7 linked regions of the Xenopus tropicalis genome follow. The protein of the gene in region 2 binds, or shares a complex with, the protein of the main gene of each other region. Links are inferred from orthologs where the notes say so. Each region holds a gene or a part of one and is shown on either strand. Other genes may lie near its edges. The genes, in order: cetn3, ranbp2, nup93, nup160, nup107, nup214 and nup205.

What was found.
Region 1: ranbp2 (region 2) and cetn3 share a complex: the UniProt entries of both Homo sapiens proteins name them as parts of the nuclear pore complex. The link is inferred for Xenopus tropicalis from reciprocal best matches to the Homo sapiens genes RANBP2 and CETN3.
Region 3: ranbp2 (region 2) and nup93 share a complex: the UniProt entries of both Homo sapiens proteins name them as parts of the nuclear pore complex. The link is inferred for Xenopus tropicalis from reciprocal best matches to the Homo sapiens genes RANBP2 and NUP93.
Region 4: ranbp2 (region 2) and nup160 share a complex: the UniProt entries of both Homo sapiens proteins name them as parts of the nuclear pore complex. The link is inferred for Xenopus tropicalis from reciprocal best matches to the Homo sapiens genes RANBP2 and NUP160.
Region 5: ranbp2 (region 2) and nup107 share a complex: the UniProt entries of both Homo sapiens proteins name them as parts of the nuclear pore complex. The link is inferred for Xenopus tropicalis from reciprocal best matches to the Homo sapiens genes RANBP2 and NUP107.
Region 6: ranbp2 (region 2) and nup214 share a complex: the UniProt entries of both Homo sapiens proteins name them as parts of the nuclear pore complex. The link is inferred for Xenopus tropicalis from reciprocal best matches to the Homo sapiens genes RANBP2 and NUP214.
Region 7: ranbp2 (region 2) and nup205 share a complex: the UniProt entries of both Homo sapiens proteins name them as parts of the nuclear pore complex. The link is inferred for Xenopus tropicalis from reciprocal best matches to the Homo sapiens genes RANBP2 and NUP205.

Annotation. Positions count from the first base shown.
Region 1 is NC_030677.2:178,970,334-178,975,277, reverse strand, and holds the start of cetn3 (centrin-3), read right to left. Parts: upstream 2,990-4,944; 5' UTR 2,964-2,989; coding exon 2,947-2,963; intron 1,564-2,946; coding exon 1,428-1,563; intron 387-1,427; coding exon 272-386; intron 1-271. UniProt on the Homo sapiens protein: Plays a fundamental role in microtubule-organizing center structure and function. As a component of the TREX-2 complex, involved in the export of mRNAs to the cytoplasm through the nuclear pores.
Region 2 is NC_030678.2:109,312,230-109,317,120, forward strand, and holds the start of ranbp2 (ranBP2-like and GRIP domain-containing protein 4), read right to left. Parts: upstream 3,297-4,891; 5' UTR 3,065-3,296; coding exon 2,993-3,064; intron 1-2,992. UniProt on the Homo sapiens protein: E3 SUMO-protein ligase which facilitates SUMO1 and SUMO2 conjugation by UBE2I. Involved in transport factor (Ran-GTP, karyopherin)-mediated protein import via the F-G repeat-containing domain which acts as a docking site for substrates.
Region 3 is NC_030680.2:43,613,766-43,618,621, reverse strand, and holds the start of nup93 (nuclear pore complex protein Nup93), read right to left. Parts: upstream 2,975-4,856; 5' UTR 2,967-2,974; intron 1-2,966. UniProt on the Homo sapiens protein: Plays a role in the nuclear pore complex (NPC) assembly and/or maintenance. May anchor nucleoporins, but not NUP153 and TPR, to the NPC. During renal development, regulates podocyte migration and proliferation through SMAD4 signaling.
Region 4 is NC_030680.2:15,983,683-15,987,844, reverse strand, and holds part of nup160 (nuclear pore complex protein Nup160), read right to left. Parts: coding exon 4,113-4,162; intron 3,668-4,112; coding exon 3,445-3,667; intron 3,034-3,444; coding exon 2,955-3,033; intron 2,599-2,954; coding exon 2,484-2,598; intron 1,290-2,483; coding exon 1,128-1,289; intron 320-1,127; coding exon 242-319; intron 83-241; coding exon 1-82. UniProt on the Homo sapiens protein: Functions as a component of the nuclear pore complex (NPC). Involved in poly(A)+ RNA transport.
Region 5 is NC_030679.2:58,836,892-58,841,053, forward strand, and holds part of nup107 (nuclear pore complex protein Nup107), read left to right. Parts: coding exon 1-59; intron 60-779; coding exon 780-856; intron 857-993; coding exon 994-1,053; intron 1,054-1,887; coding exon 1,888-2,033; intron 2,034-2,112; coding exon 2,113-2,161; intron 2,162-2,244; coding exon 2,245-2,314; intron 2,315-2,453; coding exon 2,454-2,572; intron 2,573-4,054; coding exon 4,055-4,093; intron 4,094-4,162. UniProt on the Homo sapiens protein: Plays a role in the nuclear pore complex (NPC) assembly and/or maintenance. Required for the assembly of peripheral proteins into the NPC. May anchor NUP62 to the NPC. Involved in nephrogenesis.
Region 6 is NC_030684.2:12,402,764-12,406,925, reverse strand, and holds part of nup214 (nuclear pore complex protein Nup214), read left to right. Parts: intron 1-427; coding exon 428-579; intron 580-1,079; coding exon 1,080-1,278; intron 1,279-1,384; coding exon 1,385-1,455; intron 1,456-2,396; coding exon 2,397-2,460; intron 2,461-2,611; coding exon 2,612-2,715; intron 2,716-3,744; coding exon 3,745-3,851; intron 3,852-3,993; coding exon 3,994-4,060; intron 4,061-4,162. UniProt on the Homo sapiens protein: Part of the nuclear pore complex. Has a critical role in nucleocytoplasmic transport.
Region 7 is NC_030679.2:6,640,375-6,644,536, reverse strand, and holds part of nup205 (nuclear pore complex protein Nup205), read left to right. Parts: intron 1-134; coding exon 135-340; intron 341-2,550; coding exon 2,551-2,733; intron 2,734-2,908; coding exon 2,909-2,959; intron 2,960-4,162. UniProt on the Homo sapiens protein: Plays a role in the nuclear pore complex (NPC) assembly and/or maintenance. May anchor NUP62 and other nucleoporins, but not NUP153 and TPR, to the NPC.

The sequences.
Region 1 (4,944 bases), on a different chromosome or scaffold from region 2:
TCTTCATACAGTTCCTCGAAGTGGAGTGAATGAAAGATAAACCTTAACTAACCTAAAGTAAAAGTTTGTCTGTAGGAGCCCTTAGTCAGTGCTAGGGAAGCCTGGAAAACGAAAGTGCATTGGTGGAGTAGCACTATTTTGTTTCTCTGAACTGGTCAGAAAAAAACAAACCAAAACGCAGCCACTGAATTCACTGGGTGGGAATCTGGCTTGTGGCTGTTAAAAGTGATGCATAACTTAGGGTATGTTGCAGTCATGTTTTCCCACTTACCAACTTCATTAAAATCATCAAATGTAATTTTGCCTGTTGTTTCACCATCATAGTCTTTAAGGATTTTTAGGACATCTGCTTTTTTTACATCAAATCCCAGAGCTCGCATTGCTACCTGTAAATAAAATACATGATTATGTATGAAAAAACTCACCCTACTATCACCCTTGCAGGCCGTGTATTTTATTTATTATAAACAAGACCCTTGGTGCTGGCTGTGTTTTATTCTATATATATCTATCTATATATATATATATATATATATATATATATATATATATATATATATATATATATATTTATTACAAAAAAAAAAAAAAGACACCAGCAACACGGAAATTTGTTTAAACCACAAGACCCTTGGTGCTGGCTGTGTTTTATTCTATATATATCTATATATATATATATATATTTATTACAAAAAAAAAAAAAAAAAAAAGACACCAGCAACACGGAAACTGAAATGTACTGTTATATTTGTAATCCCTACTGATAACATCCCCAGCCTGCACCAACCACCTCTCCCCGCTTCCCCTGTATCCCCCAACCACTCTATAAACCTGCCTACTCCTACTCACCCAATCACTGCTTGATCCACCACCTCTGCATCACAACTTGCCCCTTTTTTACATCACAGCTCCTTAAGCCCTCAGACATCATCATGCTGCCACTTTTCCGTCTCGGCTGGTATTGCCCAAGAGAAAAGTTGGCAACCCTATCCCGTTTCCATACAATCAACCATTAACAGAGAGTCAGGCCATTTTAAGTATCATTTAAGGGCTGTGACACACGGGAAACTTCGGCGACATCGGCAAATCGCGCCGCCACGTATGCCATCCCATCGGCAATTTACATTCTAGTCGGTGGGATGGCATTTCGGGGAGATTAGTCGCCCGCGACAAGGAAGATTAATCTCCCCGTGTGTCACAGCCCTAAAACTCATCTTGTCATCAAATTTATAATCTAACCTGCAAACCACTTGGATCCCTAGCTGACACTGTAAAGCAATTACCCACAGCCAGATAAACAGAGAACCTCTACACCCAAACATGCCACCCCCACCTAATGACTCCCTCCTTTAAAGCCCCATGGCATGGATTCAGCTTGGCAGAACACTAAGAACACCAAGTCCAAATCTTGGAAAAAGTTTTATTACCTTTAATTCATGATAATCTATTGCTTTATCTTTGTCTGTATCGAATAATTCAAATGCATCTTTTATTTCCTGTTTCTGTTCTTCTGTTAATTCTCTTCTTTTCTTCTTTTTCGTTTTGTCAACTGCTAGATCAGTCCTGCGAGAGACGTGAGTTACTAACATAAAACATACAAAGCACATAACACTGAAACTGAATTTTCCTGTTACTCTGGCCTGGTGGTGGTTGCACTGTTTAACACTTTGTGTGCTGTGCCCTTTTGATCTTCCTGTTGCCATTAAACACACAGTGCAGCATATTTCAAAACAAATAACAGGCTGTTGCTGCTAGCGCAGTATGTGGCTTTTCAAGTATTACAGAACTACAACCCCCAAGTAGTTACAACTCCTCATCTAGTTAGCTGACATTTCTAAACACTTGGAATACAAGTGGGACAGATGTACTGTGTTCCAACCTGGGAATCTGTTCTAATCTGGGATACAACTAGATATACAAAGTGTTTATATTCAAGGATCTGCACACCTGTAGTAAATACCTGGAATGGTGGTTTTTAGCCTTATTTAGTTTACCTAAATAAGGAATAAGCATTGTACCTAAATCGCACCCTAATTCATATAAACTATTCCTGGCCCATAATTTAGGATAATGTACATTTTTACAGATGAGCCCAAAAATGATTTGTTCACTAGTGAAACACCAACATAAAATCCCAGAGTTGTCTCTAGTGAAAGATCCCTGTCCCCCGGCATAAGTCAGCTGTGATGATGGAACAGAACAGAAACATACAAGAAATGAGAGCATTTCCATATGCAGCTTGCCATACACGTAATGACTTGCCTGTGTGGTCAGGGCAACATTTGCATGGATCCTCCCTTAGTTCAGCCACCCACACAGAGAGCCAAATAGCCAAATGTACCCGTTTACGGTTTTGCATCCAGTCAGGGGCCAACCAGTTACTGTCTTTTTAAGAAAAGCCAAACTGCTCATGTATTGGCACACTTATTCACTCTATGGGCCAATAAAAGTGTATGGAATCCAGTGTAACATCTGTACCAGTTCTGTCTCTGCCGGCCCCCACTCTGATACACACTAATATATATATAATCACTTTATATTTCACTTTCACATTACAAAGGCATTTACACAGACAAGATAAGTTCTGACACAAAGTGCACCAATAAATAGCCCCCTGCTAAGGGAGACTGATGGGTAACAGTTTCAGGGGAAAGGAACACATACATGAGGCTCAGAGCACAAAAGGTAAGTCAAATGGCAAAGGACCTATTTGGCGTTACACTTGTAATTGTTAGTGTATTAATAAAGAATATCCAATCTGCAGCTCGCCAGCTGTTGTTTAACTGCAACTAACCCCATCACCATGTGGCGCTGAGAGTTTCAGTATAACAAAAGCTGGAAGTAGCACAGATAGGACACTGCTATTTTATATAAACCTAACTCTATAGGGGTCCCAGCCTTCCAGCGCTGTGAACCCCCTTTCCTTTGTGCTTCCAATGCACCCACCTCACAGCCAAGCTCATCGCTCCTCCGCTACAGACGCACAGCGCTGCCACACTCCCTCGGTCAGCCGGGGCTGCTGTCCCACTTACAGGCCTAGGCGCCACCTCGTAAACACAAGGCAGCGCCTCCGATTGGCTACCGTTACAACTTCTCCCCTAGCAACGGGATCAGCCTGGCACTAACAGCGCCTTGTGATTGGAGAGCAGTGAGGCGCTTGGGGGAGGTGCCGGAAAAATGAGCTGGTTACTAGGCAGTGACGTAACAAGGCGCTTGGAGTGTGACAAGGAGCGGGAAGCTCAAACTCATGCACAGTGCGAGAGAAATGCAAGCGGCCCCGTAACGCTTGAATAGTACACCTCCCGGCATGCTTCACTACCTTACAGCGAGCTAAAGCATGAAGGGAGCTGCCACCTAACCCACATATCAGGGCTGAATTTTAAAGTAAAAATGATAGAAATATATTTTGATAGTAACCCCATTCCTGTGTAAATCTGGTAACATACTTAGTTTGGATGATTTACTCATACCTTTTAGCAGCAATTCATGCTCCCTAATAGCTTCCACGTTTTTTTATTTTAATTGTGTGGTTGCCAGTTAGTGTAAACTATTCCCTAAAAATGAATATGGCTAGAAATGCCATATTTTATATAAAAAACTGACTGGACTGGCTTAAGGCTAATTTGGAGAGTAGTAGTCAGCACTAAGCCTTGTGATTAGTTAGAAGTAGTGCAGGTTCCCCAATGGCCACTTTCCATCGGCATATCCTGGTACAGAAGAACAGGAACAGCACCTCTTGTCTTTGTAAATTAAAATGCCTTTATTGCAAAGTTTTTTGGGGCAAACAACAACAGCAGCAACGTTTCAGGTCACATAAGACCTAAAGGTTGCTGCTGTTGTTCTTTGCCCCAAAAAACTTTGCAATAAAGGCATTTTAATTTACAAAGACAAGAGGTGCTGTTCCTGTTCTTCTGTACCTGGCTTAAGGCTAATGTCAGACCAGGCCGAATGAATAGAATACGCTCGGGTGCAGGCACATGTAGCCGATACCCATATAAAAACGCAAGAGAATGCAAAGTCTTGCACACGGGCGTATTACATACATTCGGATGCAGGCACAGGTAGTAGGTGTATGGCGGCATTTACGGCATTTTCAGGTTGCCAAAAATATACACCATACGCCTTGTCTGACATTAGCCAAAAGTTTCAGCATCTCTATAGTAGTAATAATATAGGTCTTTACAGTTGTCACAGGAGCTCCCCATTTTGGATTCTGTTAGAACTGTCGGGGGCAGTGCACATGTTCGGTGAGCTCTGAGAGGCAGTTGAGAAGCTGAGCTTAGGGGTCATTGCAAATTATCAAGCAGAAAATGACATATGTCTGTCATATAAGTGGATTCAACAGGGTTAATTATTCAGTTCTGATGCAGTTGCCCTTGTTTCAGATTGCCCTGGTTTTAATACTATATAGAGGAAAAGGAAATCATTTTTAAAAATTTGAATTATTTGCTTATAATGGAGTCTATGGAAGATGGCCTTCCTGTAATTCAGAACTTTTTGGATAAGGGGTTTTCAGATAACGGATCCCATACCTGTATTAGCTCTTCCTTGTCTGCATTTTTCCAATCTGCAACTGAACATGCAATCTAGTTGAGAGAAGGGTCACTGACCCAGGCAAACGGACCATAAAATTACAAATCTGGAACTGTGCGACTTGCGACTTCAGTTCAAGTCCCAGCAGTCCATATACATAAGAACATAATGATGCTATCCCTCCCTTTAAATCTGGATGTTATAACCACATTCAGTAATGGACAACAATGTTGTTTTTAGAGTTTTGCTTTAATGAACATGTATCATCCTATAAATGAATGGCTGTACATATAAATTATATTCACATGATATAGTGCAGTGTGATTGTTTTAGCACATATAGTTCAGCTAAACACAAAAGCTGTACAAACACACACATTGTGCAATAATGCCACTTCATTCTTTGCATTTG
Region 2 (4,891 bases):
ATAATTAAACTCATAATTGGTTGCCAGAATCTAAGGTTAACTAGACATGATCCCTTTCAATGTATGAAATCATCTTCTAATGTTTTGCCTCTAGGACTTTCAGATCTACCCCACTGTATGACATTTCTGTGGTATCAAAGGTTTTATACAAATTAATTTTTTTAAAACTATTCATCAAACTTAAGTTTGGAAGGTAGTTTTCGTTTGTCTTCCAGTATGATTATACATTCTATGCCTGTATATAAAATATCAGGAGAAGCTTTTGGACACTTTACTAAATAGAGAGGTGCATCAGCACAAAACAGAATACCATCATAATTACCAATTGTAATTTACTTGAAACTTGAAAGTACCCTCTGTTTATAAGGTATTTTTTTTTACCTACTTAACACAGGTATCACATTTAGCAAATGTTGAAAAAAATAAAGAGAAGGCTAGAGTTGTCAAGATGGCATATCAGGAGACAGCATGTTTTACTAGTTAAAAATCTTGTACAAAGTAGCTCAGGTTCTTTTGGTAGCATCTATATAAGTGCATTATCTGGGTCTTTATAAGTTTTTATGTAAACAAAAAGCACAGGCCTTGCAGTGTAGAGGCAGCGTTTACAGTATCAAAGAGTGATTAGTGTCAAGTGTGTTATTGGACCACATGGTGTGGATCAGGCTAACATGTATTTTTTTTCTAGATGGAATCTGCTTGACTTAGATTAGATTTAGGGATATAGTAGGCAACTTACTGAGAACTTATTACAACATGGGAAGGTATTTCATTTTACAAATATGAATTTTTCCAATTTGCATAAGGGGAAAGTTGGTTCATTGTGCAATTGGTCTTTCAGGACTGAAAAAGTGGGTTAAGGTTTAAAAATATGAACTTGTGAATTAGAACCTTTAAATACTAAACACATTTAGGTATTTAGAAATAAATTGTGGGTTTACGAGTTGTGCTGTGTGGTTATCAAATAGCAGGATCACAGTTAATTTGCTGAGAAGAACCCGAGTCATTAGATGAAGTACTGCTGTCAGGGAGTCTTTAAGGGCAGTGGCACACGAGGGAGATAGCCTATCGAGGAAACTTTGGGCGACCTCAGGAAAACAAAGCAACGCGTATGCCATCCCACTGGTGATTTACATTCTTGCCGTTGGGTTGGCACTGCAGGGAGATTAGTTGCCTGCGGTAATGAAGATTTGACTAATCTCCTTGTGTGCCACTGCCCCAAGGTAAGGGACCATGAGGAAATTAGTCACCTGCTGTTAATCTTGGCTACAGCCAAAAAAGTTATATGCACTGCATCTTTTTTCTGAAGTTTCCTTGTGAGGAAACTTTGGTTGACATAGCAATGCGTATGCCTACCCACTGGCAAATACCATTATAGCCAGTGGGAAGGCATTCTCGGCAGATTAGTCGCTCGTGGTAGCAAAGATTTATTGTGGGCAACTATTCTCCCCCTATGGGCCATAAACCTTAGGGTCTTCTAGCTATAGCAACATAATCAGTTTCTACTCAAAACCTTTATATAATAAAATATTAATTAAGTGTGCATATTAGTGTGGAGTTTACGGATATTATTTTGATGTCAACATTAAATATAGGATGTGGGTCTGTATGAGGAATAAAGGGATAGGTTCTTCCCTGGATTAGAAATGACAATGATACGTGTTTCTCAGAAGGATTTGGGAAGTTCTCATAGGCGTATATAAATGTATCTGAACGGATTCGTTTTTTTTTCAAGGGAATTGCTGCCAGGTTAGCAATTAGAAATCACTGGGGGAGCAAAACAATTACCACCTCCCAGCAATTCTACTTCACTTCTCCTTTAACCTTACATGCTGAAAATGCTTGTAATGCGCAGTGACTGTATCTCTTCATTTATAACAAATGTTTCCCTAGTATATTTTGTATTCTAAGGGATCCTAGTATATACTGGATTTTAAGGGAGAAAAAAAAGAGAAGGATAACCCAACATCTAGACACAGTGAACAAAATATGTACACTGTTTCCTGTATGACTATTGGCATAAACAGCACACTGCTTTATAAGTAAAGTAAACTTACAAATGCTGAACTTCTTCTCCATTATATATCTAAAGACCGGTCTATCCATAAATATAATAAAAGCCAATAAGTCATAATTTCAAGAAAAAATACACATCTGTCCTGGCATGTCAGCATTGAAAGGCATGTTTTATTTTATGTTATTTGGAATTAAATTGTTGTGTTGGACATGTCAGCACAAAAAAATGTTTTGCCTAATAAAAGAAAATACATTTCTAAGCAACTTTGCAATATACATTCATTATAAATTTGTAATGGTTTTCAAATTTTTCAACTAATGTTCTCAAATTTTTCAACTAATGTGTCTTGTGTGTTTTAGCAGAGGCAATTCTCAGTATTGACTATGGCAGGGTATTTTCTGGAGTTTAGTAGCCTTGAAAAAGTAGCTGCTACTAGTAGCCCAGTGTGTCTTCACCCTTAAGGTTTAGCCAGAGTAGGGGACACAAGAGTGACAAGAAATGCTTGGTAGCTTGACAAAAAATATTTTCTGTATGGCATTTTTATTGACTAAGTAATACATCTGTCTGTAGTTCGTTCTGTAGTGTACATTGTTAAATGTATATACAGTATTTACTGGTCTCCTGGGGTGCGACAGAGTTAAACCTAATCCATACCCACAAGCTTCAAAGCAACTGCCAAAATTTCAAGTAACCTGGGCATTTCTGTGACAACACTTTACCATCTAGAGTGAAGAGGAATCAGATTTTAAGAAACCCAGGAATGGATCCTTATCACAATAATGACATGGGAGAAGGTTGACAGGTCTGTATTATAAGGCCCTACACATCTCCCAGGAGGAGGCTGCCGTTTTGTGCAACTCCAGGGTAAAAATGAGCCTTTAACACAAGCGCTTAAACTAAGAATGGTTTCCCAGGTAAGAGGCACTGCTGCCCATTACAGTTCAAGGCCCGGGGGCGCGAATTCATGATACCGCTCACCTCTCTGGGTGATGTCGCGCTGTTCTGCGCATTTTCTATGTATCTCTGGAGCTCTGCTTTACTTCGCCTCATGCTGGGCAAGTTACCGGCCTTTATCGTTGCTGTCTAATGACCGTTCCCTCCTCTCCCACCGGTCTTTACCACGAGGCCCCGGCTTTCTACCTCAGCAGGAAAACAAACTTCAGGATCGCGCGTAAAAAGCGGATGTGACGCCTTCATAGAGACAATTTCCCCCAGTGGAGGCCGGCGATACGGTGTCGCTGACGTTTGACGTCTTCCTCATGGCCAATTGCCTCAAAGGGGCGGAGTTTATGTGTCAGCGACAACGTAAGGCGAAGGAAGGGTGTGTATATGCTTAGAGTGACAGGAATTGTATCTGTATTTGGATTCTGGAAGGGGGGTTTTGTGATGCATATCAGGTAGTACCGTGCATTTTATTTTTCTTAAATTGCTATACCAGTTCATGGCTGATGGAATTTATAGCGTTTGCAAATAGGAAAATAAAATTCGAAAAAAATCACTACACGAGCTGATTAGTACATTATTTGTCATTGACATATTAGTGCGTTACATAGGGTCTCTACCTTTTCTGGACGTACCAGCATTTTTTTTAAATGTTTTTTTCACTTTTAACTACATTGGCATCCAGCAACATTTTTACCAGCCAGGTAAACATCGTATCAGGAGAATTGCGTCCCCATCACTGACACCAGATATGTTTGTCTCATAAAAATTATTATTAGTATGCATCCAGTTACGGGTCCATATTTATCTTGCTGTGTAAAAAGTGGAGTAAGACATTATCAGTCATGTTGCCCATAACAGCCAATCAGGTGCTTTGCTTTGGTTTTCTAACTGTTGAAATCTGGCTGTTTTACTGTAAGATGGGCTCTTATATTTTAGGCGATACATACCAATATAATTTCTATGAGACAAACATATATTGTGTCAATGATGGGGACGCAGTTCTCCTGATTAGGACCACTAGGGTTGCCTATGTAATGGAAGACGTGCTTTTAAATACTGTTTTAGGTGTTACAAACCAATAAGAATTTCTGTGTGACTAACAGATCTCATGTCATTGATGGGGACACAGTTTCCCTGATAAGATTAATTCACAGTGGAATGGGGATGCAGTTCTCCCGATATGGCAAATACCAATTCTATTGGGGATGCAATTCTCCTTATAGATTCAAAACAAACTGACACATTTCCTTTTATCCTTTTAACACTACAGCGTGGGTTAGACCGAGCGCTGGCGATTTCTTTCTACATTTCCTTTTATGTAATCGGCATTCTGTCCTTTGTGCCCTAAATACATTCATGGGCAATAAGTCTCCACACTCTTTTAACAATGTCTCCCCTACAGCCCAGTAGATAGGGCTGGATTTACAAAACAGTGAGTGTTACTAGGACAGTGCGGTCAGCCTATGTGGTGAATTGCCTATGTTATAGGAACAATCAGTGTAAAAATGAAACTGGGTAAAATAGACAGACTGCGCAAAATGAAAAATGTTTTGCAAAATAGTTAGTTAGGCAAAAATGTAATCTATAAAAATTGGAATGGGCAGATGTCTAACATAATAGCCAGAACTCTACTTCCTCCTTTACAGCTCTCTAAGCTGTAAGCAGTCAGTAGCCAGTGAATTGAGGGGGGGGGGGCATATGGGACATAACTGTTCAGTTAGTTTGCATTTGAATCTGACCTGTGTGCTCACAAACTAACTGAACAGTTATGTCTTATGTGGCCCCCTCTAAAGTCACTGACTAACTAAGAGGTTAGAGAGCTGAAAGCAGGAAGTAGTGTTCTGGCTGTTATGTTATATTAGACATCTGCCTGATCCAGCCTTTATAGATTACATTTTTGCCTAACTAACTATTTTGCAAACATTTTTTATT
Region 3 (4,856 bases), on a different chromosome or scaffold from region 2:
CTTTTGTTCTCCTTTTAGTGGGCTCACTATTAACAAGGGTAAATCAACCCTCTACTTCCGACCTAGAGAAAGGCAAGGTCCAGGGCTGAAAATGGGTTATTAAGTTTAAATATCTAGGTATTACTATCTCCCAAAATACCAACGATTATATTATTTATGTTGAACCTATGATGCATCATTTTAAAGCAATGAGTGGCCAGTGGGTGCACCTCCCGCTACGGGATATCCCAGAAAAGCCAAAGACACCCAAGATACCCCCTATATTGATGAACTCATAGAAAGCGAGGACACTGACCTCTACACTAGTTACAAAGGCTGCCCTCCCACCACTACCCTGCTCTCCCTTATGGAGAAACACCAATTATCACAATTTCCTGCTTCTGCTAGATTTTCAGTATTTGTGCAAACTAGGGATCTGGTACTTACAAGATCTCCTGGTCGAGGACACTTTTCCAAACCTGACTAAACTTACAAAGAAAATAAATTAGCTGACTATTATCTTATAACAATTATACTGCTACCGCCATACATTCATTGCCGAGGTTGGTCCCCCCAGCTGGTTACCACTAAGATCTTATCTCTTAATTTTAGATTATGGGACCAAAACCCAAATAATTTGAAATCTGACCTATTTAAAATACTGCTATCCTCTTTAGAAGCACCATTTGAGATGGCTAAACACAAGTGGGAAGGTGATTCCCACTTACATAATAATATGTGGGACAATATGACAAATGACCTCTATAACTACTTCATTTCTACCAAAGAAAGATGGTGCAATTTAGTATAATTCATAAGACATATATCACACCACTGAAGCTGAAAGCCATGGGCAGCTTTTCATTTATTATTGGCATGCCCTACAATATACAATTATTTCCAAACCAAAATTTGTTAAAGAGCCCCAGAGAACACAGAAACCCACAATATACCTATCACTGTAATCAAAACGTATAAATAAACCATTTTTATATGCTGAAAACCAGCTGCAAAAAAATTCTACTGTTTCTGTATTATTTGAAATCCTGGCAGGGGAGGAGACATTGATGTTACAAATAACTTTTCCACAGTTTACAGGAACTACATGGCCCCAATGCATTGCGATGTGATGTTCCTTTCCTTATTGACATCAAGTGTGCAGGGAATAGTGGGATAGAGGATGCAGGCTGAAGGCAGCCTACTACTATTACAATTTATTTGAGTCTCAAAGTAGTCAGCCAGATCAGCAGAAGAACAGGGGTCTGACCAAATTATTACATTAAAAATCATGAAAAGGATGCATATTTTTTTAATTGATGTATATTACAAAGTTGGTTGACATTATGTTTGCTTTCAAAAAACTTAAAATTGTTTTGAGAGTTCCCCTTTAATGATCTGGCCCACATGAATAAATCCAGAACTCTTCTAAAAACACTATATTTCTATGCCAAAAAACTGGTACAATAAAGTGGATGACTCTTCAACCAACCACAGGTCAGCAATTTAAAGGGAAACTATACCCCCAAACAATGTATGTCTCTATAAAAATATATTGCATAAACAAGCTCATATGTAAAACCCTGTTTCTTCTAAATAAATAATTTTCATAAAAATATACTTAATATACTTCTTTAGTAGTATGTGCTATTGGGTAACCCTAAATAGAAAATTGCCTTTTGCTCCCACATTATTTCTTGTACCCACAGCGCATCTTTAAATGGTGGATCAAGGGAAAGGATGTAAAAGAGCAATATTTACTGATATATATATATATATATTCCAGTTTGGAGAGATTCTTCAATAGGCCACTTATTTATATGATATTAACTATCTGTTGGTTACGTATTCATTCTGGGAGTATAGTTTTCCTTTAAGCAAATCTAATTAATTGCATTCTATCAGTTATAAAACTGGCACCCCTTACTAGACGAAGCCCCAAAAAGTTTGAGGATAGGATTCCTGTTTTAATGCCTGCCTTGAGGCAGATCTGTTTGCCTAACAGGTGTCTAAATTGTGTATGAATATAATCTGAACCCTTGTAATTACTGCTTTGTTCATATAATGCTGGGTCACTGTCTGTTTATGTTGTTGAGAAAACTAATTAATACAAATCTTTAAAATAAATGTGTTTCCAATTTCATTTTAGACTTTTTAACCTGGGGTAATTAGAAAACAATCTTTCAAAAAGGAAACTGAATATGAAGCATTTTGATGGATAACAACTGCTCAACAATTGGGTACATTTTCCCAGTGGAGGAAGAACATGAACAATGACAACTAAAACTCATCTCTGGAAAGGCATTTATATCTACAATTATCAATTCTTGCTACTGTTTAACCATTTCACCTCTATAATAAAAACCACTAAACACTAATTAAACAGTATTAGATGTGTATAAAAATTGATTCATAAATAGTCTTTTGAGCTGATAAAGGCCTGACCAATTTAAATTGACCAGCAATCAAATTTCAACTTAATAAAACTTTGACAGCCAATGTTTATTTTCTATGCTGGAAAGATTCATTCCAAAATGGACCACTATGCATTGAAGATGATCTCCCCACAGAACAGAATGGCATCTGGCTGCCAGGACAGTAGAGTTTTGTTAAATAGAAAAATAATGCATTGCTGGGAATCATTCATTATTCCACTAATGTTCAGCTCCACGTTTTTAAGAATTTTTTTTCACATATTTTATTACCTATTAATTATACTATTGGCACAAAAACATAAATATGATATTCAAAGCACATACTGAAACAAAAGGAATCCCTCAGAATGCATGTATTTGACTGTGAACGGATGATACACGTGACTAAATAGACAGAAGATAAATCCCTATTAAGGCATTAATGGGTAGTAACTATCGCTGCTACCTTCAACCTTTATACTAAACACATTTTGGAACCCATTTCATACTGCCCAATAGTCCCTCTTTTTACAAGACACTCGCATTTCCTAACACAGCCCTAGGAACACTACTCACACTTTCAGCAAAGATGTCAATTGCAAGCTCCCGCCTCCTGTATTACAGAAAATCCCGACACCAAAAGTCTCGTCACGCGAGACTGTGACGTCTGGCTAACGTAACGCACGCAAACGTCATGTAGTCAGTCGTGTTGTGGGAAGTGACAAGCAGAGATAGCGTAACTGAGCGGTACGTTATCGTAAGCTGTTAGTAAGCGGCGCCAGGTCTTATCAAGTTGGGTTTTTGCCCTGCTCGCACCTCCTACTCTTGTTAAAGAACAAAACAGACTTCTTTCATGTTTTTTTGCCTACTATTCCTTTCGCCACCGTAATTCTCAATATTATCAGAAGTAATTTCTATTTTCCACTCAGAGCTGAAGCTTGTGCTAGGAAATGAAAAAAAGACACATTTTCCTGATTGCCAACAGTATTTACCGCTGTCAGAGCCTCTTCGTCAAATTTGACCGAAAAGGAAAGTGTTTTTGCTGGTCCCAGTGTATTGTAAACAAGAAGCAGATTTTTTACAAACTGGCTGATTACCAAGAAGGCAATGGGTGACTTTCACCAAAATGAACCTTGGTATTTTCTGCTTTTTTATGGTGGTTTTAGATCCCAGTATGTTTGTGCAAACAATGGGCAGGATTTTCACATTCCAGGGAGGGTACATGAGCTAGTTTAGAAGGCTATGGGTTAGATCAACCAGAAGTACTTTTTTTCTTGTCCTAATTCAAAAATGTGCAGGTTCCCTGCCAATTTCCAAACATAAAGATTTAGTGCCCCCAAAGCACATCCAGTGTTTTATGTGAAAAGTTAGGATGTTTTTTTACAATTTAGGGACAACATTAAATATTTAGTTTGAGAGAAGACAATGGGTACCAATAATAATCTTTAGTTTTTAGGCTTTTTATTTTTAGTGGTGTTGGAGGGTCCCAGACTTTTGTTCATGGTTGGCAACAGTAATTTGTGCTTTTCAATTGTAATTTTAAAAGCAATAAAAAAAGATGACATGCAATTTTCTGTTTTTTTCATTTGTCACTGTGTAGTAGAATTTGGTTCTGTGGGGATACTGCAAGGCCTGCTCTCTTTATGTGATGAGAGACTGGCCAATAGCCTACCTATCTACTTATGGTCAGTTTCTATATTTGGGCTGTAAATGTATTTTAAGAACTAGTTTAGAAGTTGGCCATGGGTGCAATCAACTAGAAGAAATCTTTTCTTCTTGTCCTAATTCATAAACATGCCGGTTCCCTGTCAGTTTTGCAGCAGAATGATCCAGGGCTCCAAAAGCACATTTAATGTTTTATATGAAGACTAAGGCAATATTTTCCACAATTTAGAGGACAACTTTAAAGAACAAGGAAAGTCAAAATCTATTAAGCACACTATTAAATAGTACTACTATTCCTGTGTAAAAACGCTATATTTGTGGCTTGTCTAATGAAACATTTACAGAGATACACATACTATAAACTACATACTTGTTTCAGTGAATGGTGCCACCATTTTTAACCATCTCTACTGCACATGCATCCCACCTGCTGCCTTCTGGCTCACAAACCAACTTGCCACAACCCCCCCCCCCCCCCGCTCAGGTCCCCGCTCCCCCCACCCCAACACACTCAGCATGGCACTGAAAAGCACAAGCCAGTCATCACCACCCCCTGCTCCCTCCCCCCATTCAGCATGGCACAAAATATAAGCCAGTCCAGCTGATCCCTGCTCTCACTCCCCCCCAACACACTCAGTCAGCAGTCTGATCACCCCCCCCGTGCTCACCGCTCCTCGATCCTGCCAGCTGCGTCCTCCTCTGCGTCGCCATAGCAAACAGGCGCTAGGGGGAGCGTTCCTGATGTGTGCGCATGTGCAAGCTAAGGATCTGGTCATAGTGTTTGTGCAGGAGCGTTGCATT
Region 4 (4,162 bases), on a different chromosome or scaffold from region 2:
TGACTGTTTGGTTGTCATCGTCCAGCCACAAAGCCCAAATGTTCATAGAAGATAAAGTAAAAGTGAAGTCGATGAGAGTTTCCTGATCAGAAAATAGGGAAAAAAAAAAAACGTTTTATAATGAAACTATGACAAACGGTGACACCGAAAAGATCTTAAGGCGTTGCTGAAGCGGGAAGTCGGAATCCATTTCAAATGCTATTTTACTGTTTTGGGGGAGTTTTCTTAACAACTTGCTTACCTGATTAGTGAATATTGAGGAAGTATGCTCCAAACTGTAGCGATTGCTTTCCGTGCACACCAACTGGAATACACAGAACTAGGAAAAGGGACAAAAGGAAAAACGGTCAACTATTTCTGGTTGCTATGGTCCAATTTACGTCTGGTCAATAAAGTAGCAATAATAATAAAATTGTAGCCTCACAGAGCTATAGTTTTTTTTTGCTTGTCGGGGGCAGTGACCCCTTCAGAAACTATAAAAGATAAAATCAAGACCAATTAAAAAGTTGCCGTTTTGGAACGTATTAAAAGTTAACCCAAACAACCCCTTTAAGTCCTTCCACCTTAAAGTAAGTCAACATCTAATTCCCATCATGACTGGCACAAAAGAAAGTTCCATGACTAAAAACTTTGGAGCCTACTTGAGAGTTTCTAATTAGAGACAAGAAGAAATAGCCAACCATTGTGCCTGACCAAGATCTGTGGATGCAATGCAAATAACAGGACAGTAATAGCATCACAAGAAATAGGACAGAACTTATGGACACAAAAATGACAAGACAATAATTCAGGGGTAGGGAACCTATGGCTCGGGAGCCAGATGTGGCTCTTTTGATGGCTGCATCTGGCTCTCTGCCAAATCTTTAATAAAAAAAATAACAGGGGGCGTGGCCTGCGCTTGGCGGATAGAAGACGTGTTCTAAGCCTCAAAACACGTCTTCTATCCGCCGAGCGCAGGCTACGCCCTCCTCCTCATCCTTGGCACCCACCCTACCTTGCCCCGCAGCCCAACATATTGTATGGCTCTCACGGAATTACATTTTAAAATATGTGGTGTTTATGGCTCTCTCAGCCAAAAAGGTTCCCGACCCCTGCAATAATTAAAGAATATCCGGATTCCAATTTACCTGTCCTTGTCTGGGTGTGTGCAAATATACCCCAAGGTAAAGTATTTCTAATGTATCTGAGTAGGCAAGCCGCAGTTTGTGTCCTGTCCCAGCTGTTTGACGGATATCTTTGCTAACTGGCACATATTCCAACATGTCGGCGACCATAAGGCACATTTGATCCTGGGAATAAAGCACCAAAGCTCATTATTTATTTATTTTTTTAAAGGCTTTAGCTTTGTTTGGGGGAAAAAAAAAATTACAGAAAGAAAAGAAAGTTACAATAGAACCAACAAATCAGAAAGTATTACTGCTAATCTCTACCACCCTTAACTATGATACAGGCTTATTAATCATTTGTTTGGAATTCTATAGGTTTGTCGTCAAGGCCTCCAGATTTCTATGCTGTGTTTTCTAACTAGCTTAAAAACATGGAAGGGGTCATTTATGTTGCAGAATGCAGTATGCAAAGTGCAGCTTTCCTCAGGGCACAGATGCTTGTTAGATGGCCACTTTTGTGTGGCCCTCATTTCTTAAGCACTTGTGCTCCAGGGAAAAGTAAAGGACCATGACGTCTGATGTTCGCAATATATAAAATGGTCACAGTTCATATTAAAGGACATGTCAACTCAAAAAGAAAACGTAATTCTAAGCAACTCTGTAATATACAATCATTACAAAATTGTAACAGTTTTTTTAAAGTTATTTGTATATATTATTGCTATGAAAATCAATGTTTGTCTGTCCTTTTCTATACTTTGCCCTGGTGGCTCTGGCTTTTGAAACAATGTAACACAAGCTCTTTAAGCACGAAAACATTTTTATAAAGTCACAATCGAAAGCTGCTTAAAATTTTTTTTTTTTTTCTAAATGTCTTTTTAGTTTTAGCAAGATAATGAAATCTTAATATGTTTAAGGGTAATTACACAATAAAATGATCTAATTCAGAAGAGGCTGGCTTAAGTCATGTGGCACACACAGCCACACCAACTCTCAATATAGTGCTGAGAGGGTCAGGAACAACTCAACTGGAACTGACCCTAACCCCAAAATGTTGCCACTGGTCAGACCAGCACCCATCTTGTAATTGCATATCAATGGCACCTGTATAATCTAGTGAGCCAGTGAAGATGGAGAAGCTGGGATTTTTGAAGCAATAAACTTAAAGCAGTTTTACACAGTACTATGGGCATTGCAAGAACAGTATGACCCACAGCCAACCTGAACCAGCATTGTGTGCAGACATTTTGGCCCAAACCGCTCAGGTTTCAGGCTTGCTGCACATCACTATTATAATATCATGCCAAATACCGTTATAAAGACTGTTCCATCTGTACAAACCACAGATTATCTCAAAATAATTTAAAAAAATCTCACCTTGTATGACCACATGCGGAGTTTATGATCCTGACACAGAGCGAAGAGGTAGGAATCATGATCAAGTGTATGAACTGCAAGGCTTACAGGAAGGTGCGCCGGACCCGGGTCACCTCTAGGCACATAAATTCATAATTACCATCTTGAGAGCCACAATACCATACAACAGTTTATCAGTTACTACTTTTTTTTTTATATGGGATACAACCCAATGCCCCCAATGAACATAGTAGTAAAAGTGCCATGTAATCCCTACATGATTTCAGCAACCAACTGTTAAAAGGAAAATATTCCCTAGTCCTGTAAATGTAATAGCAATCACCTGATTAAACTGACTATAGTGTGTGTGTGTTTAACATGAACCTTAGATTGTAAGCTCTACTGGTTGCAGAGACTGATGCAAAAGGATATAATCCCTGTAATGAGTTTTGGAATATATCCAACCTGTGAGACCACCAAGACATCACTCACCGTATAGATGAAGGCATCCACCCTGTGAGAAGTCGCTGCATTACAGAACTTTGTTTCAATTCTGCAATGGTCACAAGTCCTACAGAAACATGAAAAAAGGAAATATACATATAGAAACATAAAATTATGCCCCCAAAAGTACAGCAGGTACACCTAAGGTACAACAAAATGTGGCCATCTTACTCACACCATTCTCTAGGTATGTAAATGATAGTCCTGACCAAAAGCAAAATGGCCCAACAACATTAACATCCCAGGCATAAGCTTATAGGTTTAGTGTACTTCCTTGTCTATCAGGTCCACTCTCTAGTATTCTACAAGTTTGTTTTTTAAGAAATATTGCCCAAAGAAATAGGTGAATGAAAGGCTTAGACAAAAGGTGAAGGGGGGGAAACTGTTCAGGAGTGGGGAGGGAGCGCTGTCCAAGGATTCTATTTCATCAAAGCCTTTCCATATTCTTAAAAATAAAATGTTAGGCAATCACTAGTACCTTCCATGTCACGAGGAGGCATTTTAATTACAAGAATTCCTCCTGAAACAGAGGGGAGCGCAAACAGTGCCTCTCCATCGCTGCTTAGCCATGCCGTGGAAGCAGTAGAATTGGGGGCTCGTCCAGGAATAGCTGGAATCACATAGGTGTTGTTGGGATCGTGGAAATTGGTCTTCCCAATGTCAGTAAATATTGATTGAATGTGGCTGTCTGAAATGATTTCCTGGGGGGAAAAAAAAAATATGACATTAAAGTAAATATATGTCAGTGAATAATTTCCAATGTCACTGAACATAAGGTAACGTGACATAGCCAAACAAGCAGATCAGTGGTTTTCAGACTTTTTTGGGTTAAAGTCTCCTTTGAAGGACAAAACTTTGTTCAAACCAACCCCCCCATAGCTTATATTAAAGATACATTGATCGATAGTTCGAAGGATATCTAGGGGAGCTATAAGTGTTCGAATGCAAGGATCTTTTAGTTGGGCTTTCAGGAGTATCTAGAAGAGTAAACTAACTATTAACCTAAATGGCCTTTATGCTGAACCCCTCTACCACTGGTTAAGGCCCCCCCCAGGAGGGTCAGAATACATGAACCATTATTTAAGGCTTGTCAATTTTTCCCATATGATATGCAGTTCACAAACAAACAAAAAAAATGCTACTTACACTTCTGTACATGCGGGAGGGATGTGGCAGAATCAATCTGTGAACTGTTT
Region 5 (4,162 bases), on a different chromosome or scaffold from region 2:
CTGGAGAGCAGCTACATTGGAAGGATGGAAGTTGTACCATGATGCTAATATTAATGGAGGTAAGTGTAGAAATATATATTTGTACTTGCAACATTGGGTCAGGCTCCCCTATTCCTTTTCAGATTCGCAATGTGAGACTATTCAGTGATTCCACTGAAGGTTTTTTACTTTCAGTAACTAATTGTCCATGAATGGGGCCAAAAGGCGAACTGTCTGATCATCCTCCCTGATTACCCTATCTGATATAGGTTTAGTTCTAGTTTTACAGCATGTAAAAGGAATATTTGGTAATTATTTATTTATTTTTTTGTTTGTTTTATATAAATAAAGATATTGAAAGAACACACAATAAATATTGTTCACAATTACTGACAGTCATGGTGTCTCCGTGATACAGAACAAAAGTAAAAAAAAAAAAAAAAAAAATGGGGAAGCAAATATGCATCGGAGAAATACACAAAGTAATCACATTAACTTACATTTGTACAAACATACAAGTGCTATCCCATCCTGGTATAGAGTTTATTTATTAAGCGAATGTTCAGGAGACCGAAAACACAGTTGGTTAATATCAAGCCATGGGCTCCATATTTTATCAAATTTATCTGGGCACCCTCGGGCCTGGTAGGCGAGCTTGATATAGGTAAGAGTTTTGTTAATTAGATTGACCCACTGGGTGACTGTTGGGGCATTGTTTCCCATCCAGTTCATTACAACTACTTTTGTTGGCATAGTACAGAGTTAAAAAAAAATAAAAAATTATATTTTCTCTTTTAAAGGAACTGAACTGCAAGCTGTGGAGGGAAATCCATATAGATGTGTGTGGAAAACCTGCTGTTGGCGCATGGCAGAAGATGTAAGTTGTAAAATGCTAAATATTAAACTTGCTAGAATGTTCTTTATATAGTACCTTGCTCTTGCCTTCCTATACATGTGCGAGCACGGGGTTTCACTTTTCACGTGAAAAATCTTAAATATTGTCATTATTTTTAGGAACAGTTCAGTAAATATGAAAGAGCCATCTATGCAACACTGAGTGGAAATCTGAAACAGGTACATCATGTTTTCAGTCTGAACTTCTTACAGTGCAGTTATTGTTGTGATCTGTCCATATGTAAGCATATTATTTACACATGCTTTCTGTTAATTGATTGGGCCAGGTATACCGGGCCAGGTATACCAGACCAGGCGCCATGCTAAAAATTCTTATTTGAAGGTGACTAAGCACTCGAAACATGGGAAGAAAAGGATTTACTTGCTGTTTAGTACAAAAATTAGGTGAAAAATCTAGGACTTCATTAGACAGTGATTTTTAGCTAATACCCAAATCGGTTTTGCAAAACTGTAAAACACAAGTACACTGCCTGCAATGCACTGCACCGCACTTAGTATGTCTTAAAACGACAGATAAGGAGTTAAAATTGAGGGTTCCACTCAGTCAGATTTTGTACATACCAAACTGGTTACATATACACCTTTCACTATGGGAATAATACTGCTGGACAGATTTTCTCTTGTACTGTTCTTCCAGTTGTGCATTCATCCCTTCCACTACATACAGGCCCTGATGTCCTTTGCCATTTTTTCTGCTTCTTTCTTCTGCTGCACTAGTAATCTTACAAACACTTATGCCTTATTAATAAGACATGGGGTTTGTGTGGTAAACACAAAAAATGGCCCAGTACCCATTCCTAAATACACATTTCTTTTATTGGTAATAGTAGGCTATTCCAAGCAGCTGGTTAATTTAGTCATACATTTTGTTCTTTTCAAATTGATTAATTTTTCTGCAATTGCATGAAAAGTGCCATTTGCTTTGCTTTGTTTTTAATATGAACTGGATTTTGCTTCTCAGTATTTTGAATTGCATGTGCTTTTTGTTCCCAGCTTCTTCCTGTGTGTGAGTCCTGGGAAGACACTGTTTGGGCACATTTTAAGGTTATGGTGGACAGTCTGGTAGAGCAAGAGATCAGAGCATCTGTCATCTCAATTAATGAGGCAAATGAGCTTCCCAGAGAGTATTTGGAGGCAAAGTAAGTCAAGCTCTTTATTTATGTGTCTGAAACCCGTATCTGGCTTCCAAGTTTTAACTGTGTTTTAATTTTTTTAAAGCTGGACTTTAGAGAGAGTTTTTGAGGAGCTTCAAGCCACAGACAAAAGGGTATAATATTGAATGCCTTCCTCTTGATAATCGTATTAAAATTAAAAAATGATATGGTTTAAACAAGTATTGTTGCTTTTCAGAGGGTATTGGAGGAAAACCGTGAACACTACCATATAATTCAGAAGTTCGTTATCCTTGCAGATGTAGATGGTAAGTTTTATTTTAAATAAAAAGAAAAATTAAAAACATGCCTGTTTAAATCTCTCAGGCACTCCTAGTTTCCCTGTCTGGCATCCAACACTTCCTGCACCCCAACCCAGGAACTACTACTTTCTTCCATTAAATACAGGTCTTATGGATGAATTCTCTGAGTGGTTGGCAAATGAAAAAAAATTACTGCTGGGACATCTTCTGAGATTCATGACACATCTGATTTTATTCTTCCGAACTCTGGGACTACAGACTAAGGTAGTGTTTGTGTTTGTAGTTTCTGTGTCTGCCTTTTTTTAGTATATTGATTTTAGCTGACTGTATATCAGATATTGAGTCATGAACTGCGTTCTCTATAGAATATTTGCTTATTGCTGCTTAACAATAATTCTGTAGCATAGAAAATAACAAAAGGCAAATGGATATTGTCATCATATGAAGTAATTTACATTTACTACTCTTCAGAAATATATCTTTGGGCCCTGCACACAATATATTAAAGCGCTGGCTGAACAGTACCATTTAGAACAGTGCTGTCCAACTTCTGTTGTGCCGAGGGCCGGAATTTCTCTAGCATATATAATGGAGGGTCGCTAATGGAAGCCAGTTTTGATCACTCCCCTTTTTTAAACTGCACCCACTTCAAACCACACCCATGTTATCACAAGACTATGCCCACATTAATGGTGGTAGTGCAGCAAAAACCCAAATGGTTGGTGCTCACTGTGGGGATATCAATCATCATTCATATGTAAAAGAATTATATTATGTTATATTAAGACACACACTTAAGTCCATATGCCTCCTCCTCCCCTGTGGATAGCACAGCAACCCCCAGAACATAATTACACACCTTAGGGACCATTTAATAGCTATTTCCAACTACTAACAAACTCCCAGAACAAACCTCTGCCAGGTTCACCTCCTGCAGGCAGAATAGGGCAGATAGGGCTGCCTGTGTGTGCCATACTCTGCCTGCACTATGCTGCCTGTGTGTGCCATACTCTGCCTGCACTATGCTGCTAGTATGTGCCATGCTCTGTCTGCCCTATGCTGCCGGTGTATGTGCCATACACAGTATATACAGTGACACAATGCTGGCACTGTTCCTACAGTCTGAGGTGTGAAGAAGTGAACAATGTGGGTGGTTACAGCCTGAGCCTGAGGTGTGAACAATGCAGTAGGTGAACAATGCAGAGAGTAAAACGTGTGAACAACACAGGGGATTACATGTTTAAACAATACAGGGGAATTACAGCCTGAATCGGAGGTGTGAACCATGCAGGGGACCAGTTTATCTCAATACTGATACCATTTAAAGCTTACACAAAGGTAAGCCATCAAAACAGCCAGACAGGTGGGGGGGACACACAGTGGGGGGTGGCGGGCCACCGGTTGGACAGCGCTGATTTAGAAAACACTCTCTTATCACGGCATGTGTTTTTATTAGCAAGTCCTAACTTAGAGTGGACACAGAGTGTTTTCAAGAGTGGACGCTTCTAAAATTGCCACTGTTCAAAACATGTAAAAAATAAATAAATAATGAAATAGTTTGCAGCACAGTCCCTGCAGTTATGGATATGTACAAAGCCTCATGTGGGGTAGAAACCTATAGCCTAGGTACTGAAGCAACAAAGTAATTAATTTGCAGCTGACCCATCCCTTCTGTTTGTTACTTGATGCATCCACAAGCATTTTCTATGTATTTTACTAATCTGCAACAAAAGAAATATCTTTTAGGAGGAGGTCTCTGTGGAGGTGTTGAAGACTTACATACAGGTGAGAGGAGTTATATACTTGAATATAGTCCATTTTTTATTTTTTTTTTCAATTATAATTTTTATTACA
Region 6 (4,162 bases), on a different chromosome or scaffold from region 2:
TCCCTTTGCTCTCCAGGTAATCTGTACGGCACCCACAATGGCAGTACCAGACAGGGAGATCAGTCGCCCTACCACAAATCTTCGTAGCCGCGGGCGACTAATCTGCCCGCAATGCCATCCCACCGCCAAGAATGTAAATCGCCGGTGGCATGGCATACGCGTTGCTACAATTTCCTGATTTTTCCTCTCAACACAACTTCAGGATGCCATCCCATCGGCGATTTACATTGTTGCCGGTGGGATGGCATTTGGAAGTTTAGGTTTCTTGCAACTGAATGAGCTCAAAAAGTTGCTAAATTTATAAACACTAAGCAAAGTTTGAACCCAATCAACATTTGGACACTTTTTTTTTTTTTTTTTTAAAGAAAAACTTTTAACTACTATATTGCTGCATTTTAATATTGTTTTCTGTTACTTTCCTCTGCAGTTATGGGACCCCAAGGTATACACGTGCCTATGAGTTGTCCCATTCACCATTTGGCCCTGAGCTCTGACAATCTGACACTATCCGTCTGTATGACTTCTGCTGAACAGGGAACTTTTGTCTCCTTCTATGATGTTCGGACGCTGCTGAATGAGGTATTTATATACTTTCCAGGTAAAGCTAGTATTTCTGTCAGTCTCAAAAATAAACAGGTGCTTTCTGAATAGGTTTTAAAATTAAATTGCATTAGCTTTGCCAGGAAAATTTTGCTGCTAGAAATCAATGTATTGAGTCTTTGGGATGCAACATTCTTCTGTTTCTCATTCTTGTATGTGGCAGTGACTTCAGCCTGCTCTGTCCATGTGTTTAATTTCTGCCTCAGTGTACAGGGGCTTTAATGGCTGCAAAATCCAGCACTTTTTACCCTTCTATAGATGTAATAGTGTAGCTTGCATTTGGTAATTTGTACAGTGTAATTGCCAATATAGCTTGTGTCGTCACCATATTGGAAGTTGCTGTCTAGTCTGATGTTCTAACTAGTGGCCTGTGAAGGATCCCAGGTTGTAGTATTAATGGTTAATACTGAAATCCATTGATATGTTTCATTTCGGCTACATGGCAGCCCATTAATTGATTTGTTTGCTTTTCTGTGCAGTCCAAGCAGCAGAAGACCCCATTTGCAAGTTATAAGTTGCTGAGAGATCCCAGCAGCTCTGTTACAGACCTACAATGGAATCCTGCCTTACCCACGATGGTTGCAGTGTGTCTGAGCGATGGCAGCATCTCTGTCCTGCAAGTCACAGACACAGTCAGTATGTTTGCCAACCTCCCAGCTGCTTTGGGGGTGACTTCAGGTAAGTGGCATCACACTCGGTTTGGCCAGACAGTTCCTGGCCCTTTTTTTTGTAATAATTTTTATTGAAAATTGTAAATATGTCTCCTTTCCTTTTTTTTTTTCAGTCTGCTGGAGCCCCAAAGGGAAGCAGTTAGCAGTAGGGAAACAGAATGGAACAGTTGTACAATACTTGCCGGTAAGTGATATTCACACACTTTAAGAACAGAAGTTACAGAACTGTATATATTACACACAGTACTTACTTGTAAGGATGGTGACGCTGTATCAGGACAGGGAAAGCCTGAAGCTCCGAGCTGTTGCAGATTCGGAGAGGACAAAAGCCTGATGATTTTTTTTTTTCACACTTTCCTCATTCAGCTGTTTTGCTCACAGATCCATATTAAATCTCTTATACTGTTTAAAATTGTCTGAATCACAGTGACATTGCTATTAAACCAATGGCAGCACTGGGATCCAGACATAAATAGCCCTAGATTGTCGAGTTTAAAGGACAAGAAAATGGAAACCGGTTTGGGGAAATGTTCTGGGTTCCTTTATAACAAAATCTGATAGGGTTTTATTTCCTAGTCCCTGCCTGCAGTCACTTAAAATGGTAGAGTGCATTTTATAGCTACAGACTACTGTATAGCAACCATTTTTAATAGAATAACAGAACTTTTCCCATATATTTTGCCTAATAATTCCTTTTCTGGCTAGCCAACCATTTACCCTTTGATATGCCATTGAATCAGCCTTGCTTATGTCATATTGCATCAAAAGTGTCCACTCCTACTGCAGACTAGAATACTGCCTTAAAGGGCTTCTGAACCAAAATGTGTTAAAGAGCCCCACACAACACAGAAAAGTATCAATCTTTACCATTTGTTTATGCTGAAATCCAGCTGCAAAACAGTTCTTCTATTTTTGCATCAAATGATGCATATTTTTTAACTGATGTATATTGTAAAGTTGCTTGAAATTATGTTTTCTTGTTAAAAAGAAGTTGTGTTTGGGTGGGAATATGTTGCTTTGAACTCCACTGACTATTTGACAAGTTCTTTTTTGCAGGAAGTGAGCAGATAAAGACTTTATTGATGCCAGTATTCCCAACCAAAATTAATTCCTTTTTGCTTTCAGAGTCTTCAGGAGAAAAAAGTGATCCCGTGCCCTTCGTGTTACGACCCTGATAACCCTGTAAAAGGTGCTGCACATAGACTCTCTCCTGTTGTTTATTTATAGTGTTTTGTTTGGTGTATGTGTGGGTGCATACGTGTATCGTTATCCACCACTACCATACAGCACTGTCACCTAAGCCTATTCATGTTTTTTTTTTTCATTTGTTTTGTTTCCAGTGTTGGATGTGCTGTGGCTCAGTACTTATGTCTTCACTGTGGTGTATGCTGCCGCTGACGGATCATTAGAAGCCTCTCCCCAACTAGTTGTAGTGATACTTCCGGTATGTGCATTTCCCCCATTTCACCTATTCTAAATAGGCACATCTCCCCCATCCGTATAGAATAGTTTGTATTGCATATATCCCCTTCGTTTTCCAGTGCCATCACATTTTCCTATAACAAATAGCAGCTTTCACCTGGCAGCCATTTTCCCCTCTGACACATCATCATCATCAGTGACATTTACATCTGCAAATAGCACGTGTGCCCTGTAAAGTTCATGCAATAAATAATGCGGGCTTACACAGGCAGAATTTACTTTGATAAAAAGTTCTGCTTGAATTGAACACTGTAATGGTTAAGCTGGGCTCAAGACAGGAGGTTAGAAGAAAAGACAACTAGAGCAGAATTTTTTTTGGATCCAGCCATACCATCTATTCATTGGCTACTAGACTGGAGGGAATGTTTAGTAATCTGAGCTGAGAAGAACTGAGCATGCTCAGTAGCCAATACCCAAAATAAATTCCTGAGGTAGGGAGCCGAATGGGTTAGAGAAGGTGAAGGAAATCTAAATGACTAAGGGGATTCTGCAGCCTTACTATTAACCTTTGAACAACCAGAGTGGCAGTTATTTAAAGATTTCAAAGAGGCTGTTCACTGATTAGATTTTTTTTACATGTACTGATTAAAATCATATGAAGCCTTGTGTATGGCCTTTACTTTGGATATCAGTTGGTTCTGTGATCGGCCAGTTTGATAATGTATATATGGAAGTTAAGAGGAGCTGTTGATCTGATTATTCTAGCTGTCTTTCCCGACTGGATGCAGACAGCCACAGAATATTAGATTTAGATCACATTTAGATTGTAATCTCTATGGTGTAGGGACCTCCGTCCTCTTGTCTCTTTCACACTTAACTCCTGGGAATCCTAAATGCAACTGTACTATGTATTTATTATTTTACTTTGTATTTATTTATTATTGTATTGACCCCCAGTTTGTTGTATTAATTAATTTATCTGCTGTACAGTGCTGTGTAAAGCTATATAAATAAAGATATACATACATACAAGTTGTTTATATCCATGTAGAAAAAAGAAGACAAACGAGCAGAGAGGTTCCTGAACTTCACAGAGATGTGCTTTAGTATCTGCAGTGAGCGACAGCACCATTTCTTCCTGAATTATATTGAGGATTGGTGAGTGGTGTTTGGAAACTGTTTGGCAAAATAATCATTTGTGAACTGATGATTTCAACATAGAAAATGCTGGTGAATCACTTTTCCTGGCATTTCTGTGCACAGCCAGAGACTTTGTTATTATTCTGTTTTTTCCCTCTAGGGAGGTTCTGTTGGCAGCATCAGCAGCCTCAGTAGATGTTGGTGTGATTGCGCGGCCCCCTGACCAGGTAATAAAAGTTGCCTTGATTTTCTTTTTTTTATATTTTTTTTTTTGTTTAAATAGATGCATATTGTGGTTCCTATTCAGTCTATAACTAAATCGGAGCTTT
Region 7 (4,162 bases), on a different chromosome or scaffold from region 2:
CTACTGAGCCTGCACACATGGAATCCTTTGCTTTAGTTGCCATTTTTTAATATAATATGCATATGCAATGTTAACTACTTTGCAATATATAATATTTTATGGGAAAATGATAGGCCCTGTTTTCATGATTTCAGCAGAGAGCTTGCAAGCTGCAGGGGGTAGCCCAGTGTCCTGGGACCACTTCTTCCACTCTTTGATGCTGTACCACGAGCACTTGCGGAGGGATCTACCAAGCACAGACAGTATACACCTGCGTCACCCTCCTCTCCGTGGTATCACCCAGCGAGAGCTCGATGGCCTGATTGCCTGCTTGCAGCTCACCCTTACCATCGTCGATTGGGTAAACACCGCTTTGGCTTCTAGATACTATATAGTCTGTAATATAGGTCATTCCTTCATAGTTACATAGGGTTGAAAAAAGACCAGAGTCCATCAAGTTCAACCCTTCCAAGTAAACCCAGCACACACAACCTATACTTACCAATCTATCCACTCACATACAGACCCACACTGACCTATCTATCCACTCCCATACAGACCCATACTGACCCATCTATACACTCACATACAGACCCACACTGACCTATCTATCCACTCACATACAGACCCATACTGACCTATCTATCCACTCACATACAGACCCACACTGACCTATCCACTCACATACAGACCCACACTGACCTATCCACTCACATACAGACCCATACTGACCTATCTATCCACTCACATACAGACCCATACTGACCTATCTATCCACTCACATACAGACCCACACTGACCTATCCACTCACATACAGACCCACACTGACCTATCCACTCACATACAGACCCATACTGACCTATCTATCCACTCACATACAGACCCATACTGACCTATCTATCCACTCCCATACAGACCCATACTGACCCATCTATACACTCACATACAGACCCACACTGACCTATCTATCCACTCACATACAGACCCATACTGACCTATCTATCCACTCACATACAGACCCACACTGACCTATCCACTCACATACAGACCCACACTGACCTATCCACTCACATACAGACCCATACTGACCTATCTATCCACTCACATACAGACCCATACTGACCTATCTATCCACTCACATACAGACCCACACTGACCTATCCACTCACATACAGACCCATACTGACCTATCTATCCACTCACATACAGACCCACACTGACCTATCCACTCACATACAGACCCACACTGACCTATCCACTCACATACAGACCCACACTGACCCATCTATACACTCACATACAGACCCACACTGACCTATCTATCCACTCCCATATAGACCCATACTGACCTATCTATCCACTCACATACAGACCCACACTGACCTATCCACTCCCATACAGACCCACACTGACCTATCTATCCACTCACATACAGACCCATACTGACCTATCTATCCACTCCCATATAGACCCATACTGACCTATCTATCCACTCACATACAGACCCATACTGACCTATCTATCCACTCACATACAGACCCATACTGACCTATCTATCCACTCATATATAGACCCACACTGACCTATCTATCCACTCACATACAGACCCACACTGACCTATCTATCCACTCACATACAGACCCATACTGACCTATCTATCCACTCACATACAGACCCATACTGACCTATCTATCCACTCACATACAGACCCATACTGACCTATCTATCCACTCATATACAGACCCACACTGACCTATCTATCCACTCCCATACAGACCCATACTGACCTATCTATCCACTCATATACAGACCCATACTGACCTATCTATCCACTCATATACAGACCCATACTGACCTATCTATCCACTCATATACAGACCCACACTGACCTATCTATCCACTCATATACAGACCCACACTGACCTATCTATCCACTCACATACAGACCCACACTGACCTATCTATCCACTCACATACAGACCCATACTGACCTATCTATCCACTCACATACAGACTCATACTGACCTATCTATCCACTCACATACAGACCCATACTGACCTATCCACTCATATACAGACCCACACTGACCTATCTATCCACTCACATACAGACCCACACTGACCTATCTATCCACTCACATACAGACCCACACTGACCTATCTATCCACTCCCATACAGACCCATACTGACCTATCTATCCACTCACATACAGAACCACACTGACCTATCTATCCACTCACATACAGACCCACACTGACCTATCTATCCACTCCCATACAGACCCATACTGACCTATCTATCCACTCCCATACAGACCCATACTGACCTATCTATCCACTCACATACAGACCCACACTGACGTATCTATACACTCACATAAATAAACTATATATACACAAACATTAATACGAACTGTAGATATTAGTATCACCCCCGGATGGTATCCATAGAAGCACATGGATTTTCAGTATGTGTAGGCCAGGAGCAAGCAGAGCAAATTGTCTGCTTTTCCTCCATCCTATTTATTTTATATGGTGTGGTTTCATAGTGACTTCTTCTTTGCTGGCAGAGTGAAAGTGCCCGCCTTGCTCTGTGTGAGCATGCCCAGTGGATGCCAGTGGTCGTTATTCTTGGCCTCCTGCAGTGCAGCATCCCACCACTCCTTAAGGCTGAGCTCCTGAAGACACTGGCTGCATTTGGCAAATCCCCAGAGATCGCAGCATCCCTCTGGCAATCCCTCGAATATACACAGGTATGTAATGTATTCTTTTAGCTAATCACACTGGCTGGGTGGCAGAGTATAACCGCCAAAAGCATAAGACAATAAGAGTTATATTATGTACCCTGAGTACATTTGACAGAATATAGCAGGAAGTGTGAAAATGTACTTAATTTTTTAATTTTTTGCTTTTTTCTTTTATTAACAGATTTTGCAGACTGTAAGAACCCCAGGGCTACGGCAAGGAGTCGGGATTGAGGTAATTTTGTGTAATAATAGTGTAACTTTTCTATGCCACACTATTATATCTGTTTAATATGCATTGCTTCTCTGTATATTTGTATTTATACATATGGGTAGGTGGTGCCATATTGTTTCCCTTAGACAGTACAGTATGGGGGTACAGCTTATTGTGTGCCCAGAACATTCCTTCTCTGTATATTTGTATTTATACATATGGGTAGGGGGTGCCATAGTGTTTCCCTTAGACAGTACAGTATGGGGGTACAGCTTATTGTGTGCCCAGAACATTCCTTCTCTGTATATTTGTATTTATAGATATGGGTAGGAGGTGCCATAGTGTTTCCCTTAGACAGTACAGTATGGGGGTACAGCTTATTGTGTGCCCAGAACATTCCTTCTCTGTATATTTGTATTTATACATATGGGTAGGGGGTGCCATAGTGTTTCCCTTAGACAGTACAGTATGGGGGTACAGCTTATTGTGTGCCCAGAACATTCCTTCTCTGTATATTTGTATTTATACATATGGGTAGGAGGTGCCATAGTGTTTCCCTTAGACAGTACAGTATGGGGGTACAGCTTATTGTGTGCCCAGAACATTCCTTCTCTGTATATTTGTATTTATACATATGGGAGGGAGGTGCCATAGTGTTTCCCTTAGACAGTACAGTATGGGGGGGGGGGGGGGGTACAGCTTATTGTGTGCCCAGAACATTCCCTCTCTGTATATTTGTATTTATACATATGGGTAGGGGGTGCCATAGTGTTTCCCTTAGACAGTACAGTATGGGGGTACAGCTTATTGTGTGCCCAGAACATTCCTTCTCTGTATATTTGTATTTATACATATGGGAGGGAGGTGCCATAGTGTTTCCCTTAGACAGTACAGTATGGGGGTACAGCTTATTGTGTGCCCAGAACATTCCTTCTCTGTATATTTGTATTTATACATATGGGTAGGGGGTGCCATAGTGTTTCCCTTAGACAGTACAGTATGGGGGTACAGCTTATTGTGTGCCCAGAACATTCCTTCTCTGTATATTTGTATTTATACATATGGGTAGGAGGTGCCATAGTGTTTCCCTTAGACAGTACAGTATGGGGGTACAGCTTATTGTGTGCCCAGAACATTCCTTCTCTGTATATTTGTATTTATACATATGGGTAGGGGGTGCCATAGTGTTTCCCTTAGACAGTACAGTATGGGGGTACAGCTTAT